2 linked regions of the Tribolium castaneum genome follow. The protein of the gene in region 2 purifies or fractionates together with the protein of the main gene of each other region. This does not show direct contact. Links are inferred from orthologs where the notes say so. Each region holds a gene or a part of one and is shown on either strand. Other genes may lie near its edges.

Region 1 (4,367 bases), on a different chromosome or scaffold from region 2:
TAAAACGAATTTAAATTTTAACTGTCGAGTTTTGATATTTTTAAATACATAAAAATCAAATGATTTATTACTAAGATCTCTATTTTTTTGTGATACCCTTTTAAGTTGGAATTTATCGACACATTTCATTTGAGGAAACTTATTTTGTGACGAAAATTGTCCATAATTAAAAATATGAAAACTTTAGTTCAATCTGTTGTTTTTGATTGTTATGAATCACTAATTCCATGATTAAAAAAGATAGAAAAGATAATTAAAGTGATGATTAATTTAAACATTCACCCAAGCACCAATGTGTTGCATGATTAACAATTTAAATACATGCCGTCAATTTTCCCAAAATCGCAATAATTAATTTATTACGGACGGACATTCTAGACGAATGTGGCTAGTAAAAATATGTGAGTACTTTCGCAAGAACAAAAACATATGTTATAGGTGTTGGATTCATTTAAACACAAGTCTTTCATGAAAACAGGTAATTAAGCGGAAGTGTAGATAAAAATAAAAATAATGAAATACACGGACGGGACAAAAAATGCTAAGAAGCAATTTTATTACAACACGAAAATTTTCACAAAAATAAATAAAAGACACTTAACAATATTATCAAAAAGTGTACACTTGAAAGTTTGAATTAAATTTTAACAATTAATATTTTGTTGTCAGATTTAGAAAAATAATTTTTGGATTGTATTTCAGTTATAGGCTTAATATTCCGTCATTGCTTCCAATTTTTCACGCACGCATAAAATTCTTTAGCATTATTATTTTCTTTGAACGAACTTCGGTTCCAAACTAGTCTTTTTACAGAACGCAAAGCCGGCAAAAGCTAAAAGAAGCAAAGATTTGTTTTGTTCATTATAAAAAATGATATTTTGAAACGATTTTAATAATTTTTTTTATCAAAATAAATCATATCAAATTTTTTCTAAAATTTTTCTAAAATGCGTTAACCACATTTCGAAATTCTCTATAAATAAATGCCTGTATAATGTTTTTGTTTCAAAAAGAATATCTTTTATAATAAAATAAGATATGAATTTTTTGAGGTTTCGCTAAAATGAGAACTTTTGTTTCCGAGTTTAAAAGAAAAGACAATAGCGAGATGAGGTTTTGACCAAAACATGTCACTCGTTTTTGCATAAACCTCTTATTTTCCCAAATTTCTATAAATAACACCAATAATTTAGTGTTGCCAACTTAAGTTACTCGCTTCAGAAATGAAGCCCAACAGTAAAAAAGTCAATTTTATAAATAAAAAAAGGTACTGACCTGTGTCAGGTACATCGGTCGGGCGCATAATACGACGGATCTGCTCCATGCCTTGCAGGTCAGGACTGAGCCCCCCGTGACAGCAGAAAATTTTCTCGTCGATTATCGCAGCTATTGGCAAGCAGTTGAAGCAATCGGTGAAGGTTTTCCACAACTTGATGTTGTACCGTCTCTTGCCTGTAATTTTTTCTATAAAAAACACACACAAATTTGCGAGTTTAATGTTTACATTCGTCGTAAAATCCGTATATTCGGTTAATCGACGCGCATTCGTGGTTTCCTCTGAGGAGGAAGAAGTTTTCAGGATATTTAATTTTATAGGCCAGAAGCAGGCAGATGGTCTCTAGCGATTGTTTACCACGATCAACGTAGTCGCCAAGGAACAGGTAATTGGCTTCAGGAGGAAAGCCCCCATATTCAAAAAGACGGAGCAGATCTGTGTATTGGCCATGAATGTCCCCTGGAAGCTTAACTTGAAATTGAAAGTTTGGGGTGTTTGGAGGACCTACCGCAGATTTTTAAGGGAGCTTCCAGTTCCAAAAGTATGGGCTGTTGGAGGAAAATTTCTCGGGATTTTAAGCAAAGTCCGCGGACTTCCGCCTCGGACATTTGTACAGACTTTCCGGGACGACATCCTCGTACTGAGAACAAAGTTTTTAAAATACCCTTCTGTGTCTTTTGGTCAAAAACAATGCAAATCAAATCAAGTGGTTCTGTTAAGGCCGCATGATACCTCTAGATGAGTAAATTTGTAAAAAAAAGTGTAGAGCAAGCAAAACTGAACTGATAGATGTGTGCATCAAAATCTACTAAATCGGACGACCTTACTGTACTGTAATGAGAGTAACAAATATCTAAGCTAGACTGCTATTATAGATGTGACCTTACGTTCGGAAGATATGAACATATCTTTGAATTTAGATTTCTTCTTAACATCCTGGTTTTCTTGTAATTCTCGTAGAGTTTTATACCCTGTACCCACATCACACGAAAAGCAGCACAAAAATAAACACTCAAACTATTTATTTATACAAAACTCAACTAAAAAGTGTTAAAAAGCACTCAGTGTCTTAAATAACTCCCTCAATAGTATTTGTGCACTTTTAAAGTAATTATTTTGGCCGAGTAAGAGTCTATTTTGACTGGTCAAAAGTCACAACAACATTCGACCATGCACTTGTACTCTAGTAATCCCCAACTTCCTAATCTAACACATTTAAGCGGAAAATCATAATTAAATCGCTTTCTTACCTTCTAATAATCTTTGAATTAAATTGTCGACGTTTAGATCAGGCTCCGCCATTTTTATTTTCCACTAATAAATGAAAATTAGCGACAATCTTACCAACCCAACGATGCACTTCGTTCCTAAAAACGCACGCATGGCGCTTAGTTCAAACAAATTTATCCAACAAAACGCATTAACACGAATTTAAATAACCCAAACGACTTCTACGAGGAATTTTGTCACTTACAACCCTTCAGACGTCAAAGAACGTGTCAAAACCAAATTTTCGCCAAAATTCAAATCGTTAATTCCACAACTCGCAAAATTTCAACTTCAATACCTTATTTGCACACTGCGCAAATCTATTTTTACGTGGACGGACAAGAAGCGTAAGCCGGGATTTTAGACTTGTCAAACAAAAAAACACCCACTAAATTGATTTTTTGAAACATTGTTATGAGTGTCAAAAACAATTTCAAACAAAAACAACAATTGAAACGGTTTTATTCAATTGGGCAACAAAACTACATGTCCTTAAATTCTCCACTGCCACTAAGCAACAAAATATTCGGATTTTCCTTCTCAAACTCACTCGGCTCTCGCTCACGATCTTCCTTACCCCATTCACCCACTGACGACATCACATTCGGCTCTTTCTTTTTCTCTTTTTCTTCCCTCTACACAATAAAACCACATTTTATTAAAAACATTTATTCAAATTACCAGCGGGACAATAATTCAAAATTAATTGTTTTTCACCTGAGCATCCACTTTCGCAAATCTGTCAAACATATTAGCAAAAACCTTCTTCTCCTTCTCTAACTGTTCTTTGAGTGTTTTCACACAAAGGGCTTTCTGACTCTGTGCAGCTGTATTCCCTGGATCTAGCTTCAAACACTGCTGGAAATCTTCGGAAGCAAGCTTGGGCTCTCCTAGTTTTAGTAAAGCCTGACCTCTTCTAAACAAAGCTTTAACATTGTCTGGATCCATTTTCAAAGCGGCGGTAGCCGAGGCTTTAGCCTCGAAATTGTCGTCAATTTTCAAGTAACATAACGACAAATTCAGATGCGCAGCTAAATTTAACGACTCTATTTCTTTATCCAGTTCCGGATCTGAAAGCAATCACAAAATTAAATTTATGATTAGAGTGGACTATAACTCAGGAGACGAAACGAGATACAGAATCGCAAGATTTTCTGAACCCCAAAAAATGGTACGGCAAAGTTAATTTAAAATCCAACCAATTCGTCTAGCGGACTTTTTTGTAGACAAATTTAATTCTCTACAAATTTTTTCCTAACAAATTTCTGGCATCTATTATTGTGTTCATAGCGTTTTGAAAAATATAGAGCAGAGTGCGATTTGATAAAAGTTTGATTTTTTTTAAATATAGTTTACGGTAAAATTTTTGCATCATGTTTTTGTCACATTATTGAAAATTTAGTGCTCTATCTGCCTGTATTTTTTGTTTGTTATGTGTTAACAGTTATACAAATACAAGCATTTTTCAAATTTATTGCTTCGACAACTTGACTCTCTCTGGTGAGAGATCAAAAGCGAGATCGTTTTATTTGTACGTCGTTTCGTACCCTAACCTTTAGACATCCGTAGTACACACCTTTCTGAGATTCCAAATACTCAATAATTTTTTTGTACATTTTTATGGCTAGTTGAAATTTGTTAGCTTTAAAATAATTCGTTCCTTTCTCCTTGAAAATTTTTGATTGTTCCACACGTTCTTTGGTGTCCAGAGCCCAACTTTCTTTAACTCTTTCAAAGTTCTTCAACGTGACGGTGTATTCAACCGTTCCGTTCGGTGGAATGTTAAATTCTGAACAACCCTCAGTTCCAAATGCATATTGTG
Region 2 (3,824 bases):
GTGCGTTTGTATTGAGAAAAAAATTCGAATTAGATTCGAACCGTTGCCAACGAAAATAAATGAACGAAATAAACAAATTAATCGAACGCAAAAACATCGCTTACCTCTTCGTGATTTAATTTCGTACTATCTTCATAATCACCACCTCCTGACGGATCCTTATCTTGATCCATATCCTAAATGGATAAAAGTCGTTATTAAAAAAAAATCATATATATGTCACGAGAGTAATTACAACCCTCTGCTTCGTGTTGGGCTGCAAACTTTGCCCACGGGAGGAAATTATACACTTTGCTCCCTAGATATATAAATCGCGATTTTTTACACACACTCACATCCATATTTTCAAACGAGACGACCCCTGTGGACCTCCTCTTGGGCCTCCTTCTTCGTTGGATGGCCGCCTGTGTGGCGAGAGTGGCTTGAGCGTTGCGTACGTCATTTTCTTTGTCTTGTTCTGTGTAAAAATCGGTTAAAATTCGTCCAATTTTTTTTTATCGTACCTTTTTCATCTTGAGTTTTTGGTCTTCTCAATGGTAACGTGACCGTAGTTTCGGCCGTTTCGACCGGTGCCGATGACGGTCTAGGATTCGTGGTGGTATTTTGTGTGACGGTGCGACGGACAAAGGACGGAGTGCTTGGTGGTTCAGAGGATTTCGTTGCATCTTCCAGTTTAAACTACATCCAACAAAAAGTATTAGCGTGCACACATTTATGCCCAAACCCCGTGTTGTTAAACTATATAGACCCCAAAAAATTATTAAACACAACGGTTATTATTCAATAAACATTTATTAGAATTTCATTTGGTACTAGTAACGAGATCGGTTTAGTTATTATTATGACACTCCAGATAAATCAGTATTTTTTGCTGTGCTACAACTAAATACAAACAATAGCATTACACACTAACATGCATGCTTAACGTAATAATACAAGAAAAGTGACGTTAAGTACAAAATATGTTGGATAGGGTTACAGATTAAGTATAAGCTTAGAAGAAAAACCAAAACGCAAATCTGAAAAAAAATGACTACAGTAAGGATTGATATTCACTAAATTAACGAAGTAAACCGATGTTAATAAGCAATCAAAACCAACACACATAATTACCTGCCAATAAGTTCGTAATCCAAAAAAAAAAACAAAAAAAGAAGATTCCACTTTTAAATTCTTATTTCACAAGTTTAAATTTTAATCAAAGGTCTAATTAATAGACAGGCCAAAAAAGTCCAAATACAAAGACTAAGTTTTAGCACTAAATTTTGCTTAATTAAATAAAGAAGAATTTAAAAATTCAGATAATACGACCTAGAAACATGTATCTCAATTCATACAGAATTCATCAATTTTTTTCAAGTCTTTATATTGGAAATGAATTAATTAATATTAAGTCGCTGTGAGAAATATAATTTCTTTGGTTCATTGTTTAGAATGGCACTTACTATTATAGAACGATAGAATTGTCTAATTGAAAAATTGTGCACCCATTTCGGCGATTTTGTGGTTTACTTTAATCGAAATTTCACATTTTTGGGCAACAATTTTTCCAGATATGTCGCCAAAATAATGTCATTTTTGATTTAGCCTAGTGAATTTTTAAACTGAGTTTTGAGTTCAAAATAAGTTTAAAAAAAAGCAAAAATAACTCGATTTTCGCCTAAATTCGAATTATTATTTTTTGGATAATTTTCGAATAATTGCGTTTTTTTTATGAAAAACGTGCTAATATGACAAAAATTAATTTTAGCAAAATTTAATACTATGTTCTAATCAATTTTTCATTCACATTTCAAATGTAACTTTTGAAAGTTTAACCAAAAGCGGTACACGTATTATCAAGAACCTCCTCCTTTGGTAATTTTGCATGTTTCAATCATTAAAAAAAAAGAAGAAAAAAGCGAAGAAGAAGTGATAAAAAAATCATCCATTTGCGGCTCCACAGTGACTTTCACAACACCTAAAAACTCACCTTACTACTACTGTCAATTTTCAGCCTCCACGACGGCCTACGCTCATGAGTAATACTGGGTTCTTCAGTATCACGTGTTATAACAGTAGGTGCCGCAGTGGTTATTGTAGCGGTCACACTCACTCCGTTAGGGGAATCCCCGTTAGCTCCAGACTGTTAGTACACATTACATATGATTTATTAAATGAATGGAAAAAAATTATTACAAGAATTATTCACCACTCCCGGATGAATAAGCCATAAAACTGAAAAATGAAGTCACGACTTACTTGCTCGTTATTGTTGTTATTGCAATTCGGTTGATTCTTCTTTTTAACGAATTGTTCAGCCGATTTTATCTCCTCCAATGTTACACCTTGAGTCGAACGCCTCGTCTCACGAACACGTTTCGCATGAGCTTTGCGTTGCGTTTCACTTTCTTCGTCACGAACGGGTGGCACAAACGACCTTTGGAAAAAAATTAATCAAACAAAGCTCAACTTTAAGAAAAAGTAAAAATTGGCGAAACTCAAGTCAAACATTTAGTAAGCAACGTCACACAAACTCGGTTAAAACAGTATCATACTTGAAGAAGTTTTTAAACATTTGAAGTCTATTGCCACCAGGTGTTGTAGGAGTTGTTGGAGTGCTAGTGGTTGTGACAGGTTGATTTGTGCCAATTGGCAATTTTAAACCGCTAATGAAAGAATTGACAAAATAAATTTACGAACTGACAACACATTAAGCCTAAATCCGATATTTCTTAGTTTTTTCTAAACGCTTACCTTCGAAGTGGTTGATTATTAGATACTGGACTCATAACCGGTGATGTTTTCGTTGATGATGTACTGTTATTTTCGTTGCTGTCTTCTTTCAAACTTCTAGAAGGAATAAACAAGGAATTTGTTCAATAAAAATGCATTTATTATTTATTCTATTTCGTATGAATAAAAAATGTAAATAAAACTCGTTCCAAATTGTTACGTTACCACCTGATTTGGTATTGGTCTGAAACTTTAGCGACAAAAAATATTGCCAATATTAATGAAAAACTATTGAAATAGTATTTTTTTTTAATGACTTGACCAGCCTCACCATCAGACAGTTTTTGAAAAATATAAAAATAACAATTACTGGCATCTGGTGACTTTCGCCTTAGAACAGATAACTTTTTTTTGGTTGTAATTCTGACTGCTCGTAACAATTTGAAACGACTTTTAATTAATTAATAATTCCCAAGTTGTAAAACTAATGACTTGTCACAAAAAAGTGAAGTTGTTTGATTTGTTACAAGTGATAAACTTTCATAATCAGTTGTAATATTTTAGATTATCAGAAAATTTATTTCAATATTTATCAAGAGAAGTTTTTCATGCAAATGCTAATAAATCGTGACGAAACACTTGTGCAGACATTTAATCTCCTACACAATCGTAAAAAAGCACTAAATACATCTCAACAACGAATTATTATAAAGCGATGGTCATCAAGCATTAATTGTTGGATTAATTGTTAATATTTGCCCTTTGGTTAAAAAACCATCGCTTTATAATAAAAAAAATTGAAGACGACAACAACACGTGCATACCTGTAATGCTGCTGAGAAGTTGAATAGGAATTTGGGATAATGTCGGAATGAGGTCTAGTCGAATAAGGAATAATGTCATTGCTATTTCTATATTTCTTAATGCGTGCATGCAGTTCCTCGTATTTCGAGTAGAACCTAAACAATACAAGCAAGTGTCAGAGCGTTAGATGCAATCAGTTTCTACTACAATACATTCGAAAAGAAATAAAAGTAGTAAAAACTGGAGAATAGTCGATTAAAATAAGCTATTATTAATTTCCTCTCCTTTGCAAGATGAAAAATATT

The links.
Region 1: the proteins of Mbs (region 2) and serine/threonine-protein phosphatase PP1-beta catalytic subunit purify together in Drosophila melanogaster (affinity purification with mass spectrometry; 3 studies listed by BioGRID, with this or other methods). This does not show direct contact. The link is inferred for Tribolium castaneum from reciprocal best matches to the Drosophila melanogaster genes Mbs and flw.

Annotation. Positions count from the first base shown.
Region 1 is NC_087402.1:10,006,791-10,011,157, reverse strand, and holds the start of serine/threonine-protein phosphatase PP1-beta catalytic subunit, read right to left. Parts: upstream 2,882-4,367; 5' UTR 2,751-2,881; intron 2,737-2,750; exon of another isoform or gene 2,644-2,736; 5' UTR 2,579-2,643; coding exon 2,527-2,578; intron 2,248-2,526; coding exon 2,164-2,247; intron 1,917-2,163; coding exon 1,785-1,916; intron 1,736-1,784; coding exon 1,505-1,735; intron 1,453-1,504; coding exon 1,276-1,452; intron 1-1,275. Other genes in the region: Fkbp59 (FK506-binding protein 59), read right to left, coding at 3,028-3,180, 3,263-3,615, 4,122-4,367. UniProt on the Drosophila melanogaster protein: Required for cell adhesion in non-muscle tissues and in maintenance of muscle attachment. Vital for larval development.
Region 2 is NC_087394.1:37,244,390-37,248,213, reverse strand, and holds part of Mbs (protein phosphatase 1 regulatory subunit 12B), read right to left. Parts: intron 3,675-3,824; coding exon 3,540-3,674; intron 2,833-3,539; coding exon 2,737-2,832; intron 2,649-2,736; coding exon 2,538-2,648; intron 2,420-2,537; coding exon 2,242-2,419; intron 2,126-2,241; coding exon 1,973-2,125; intron 679-1,972; coding exon 504-678; intron 458-503; coding exon 336-457; intron 177-335; coding exon 105-176; intron 1-104.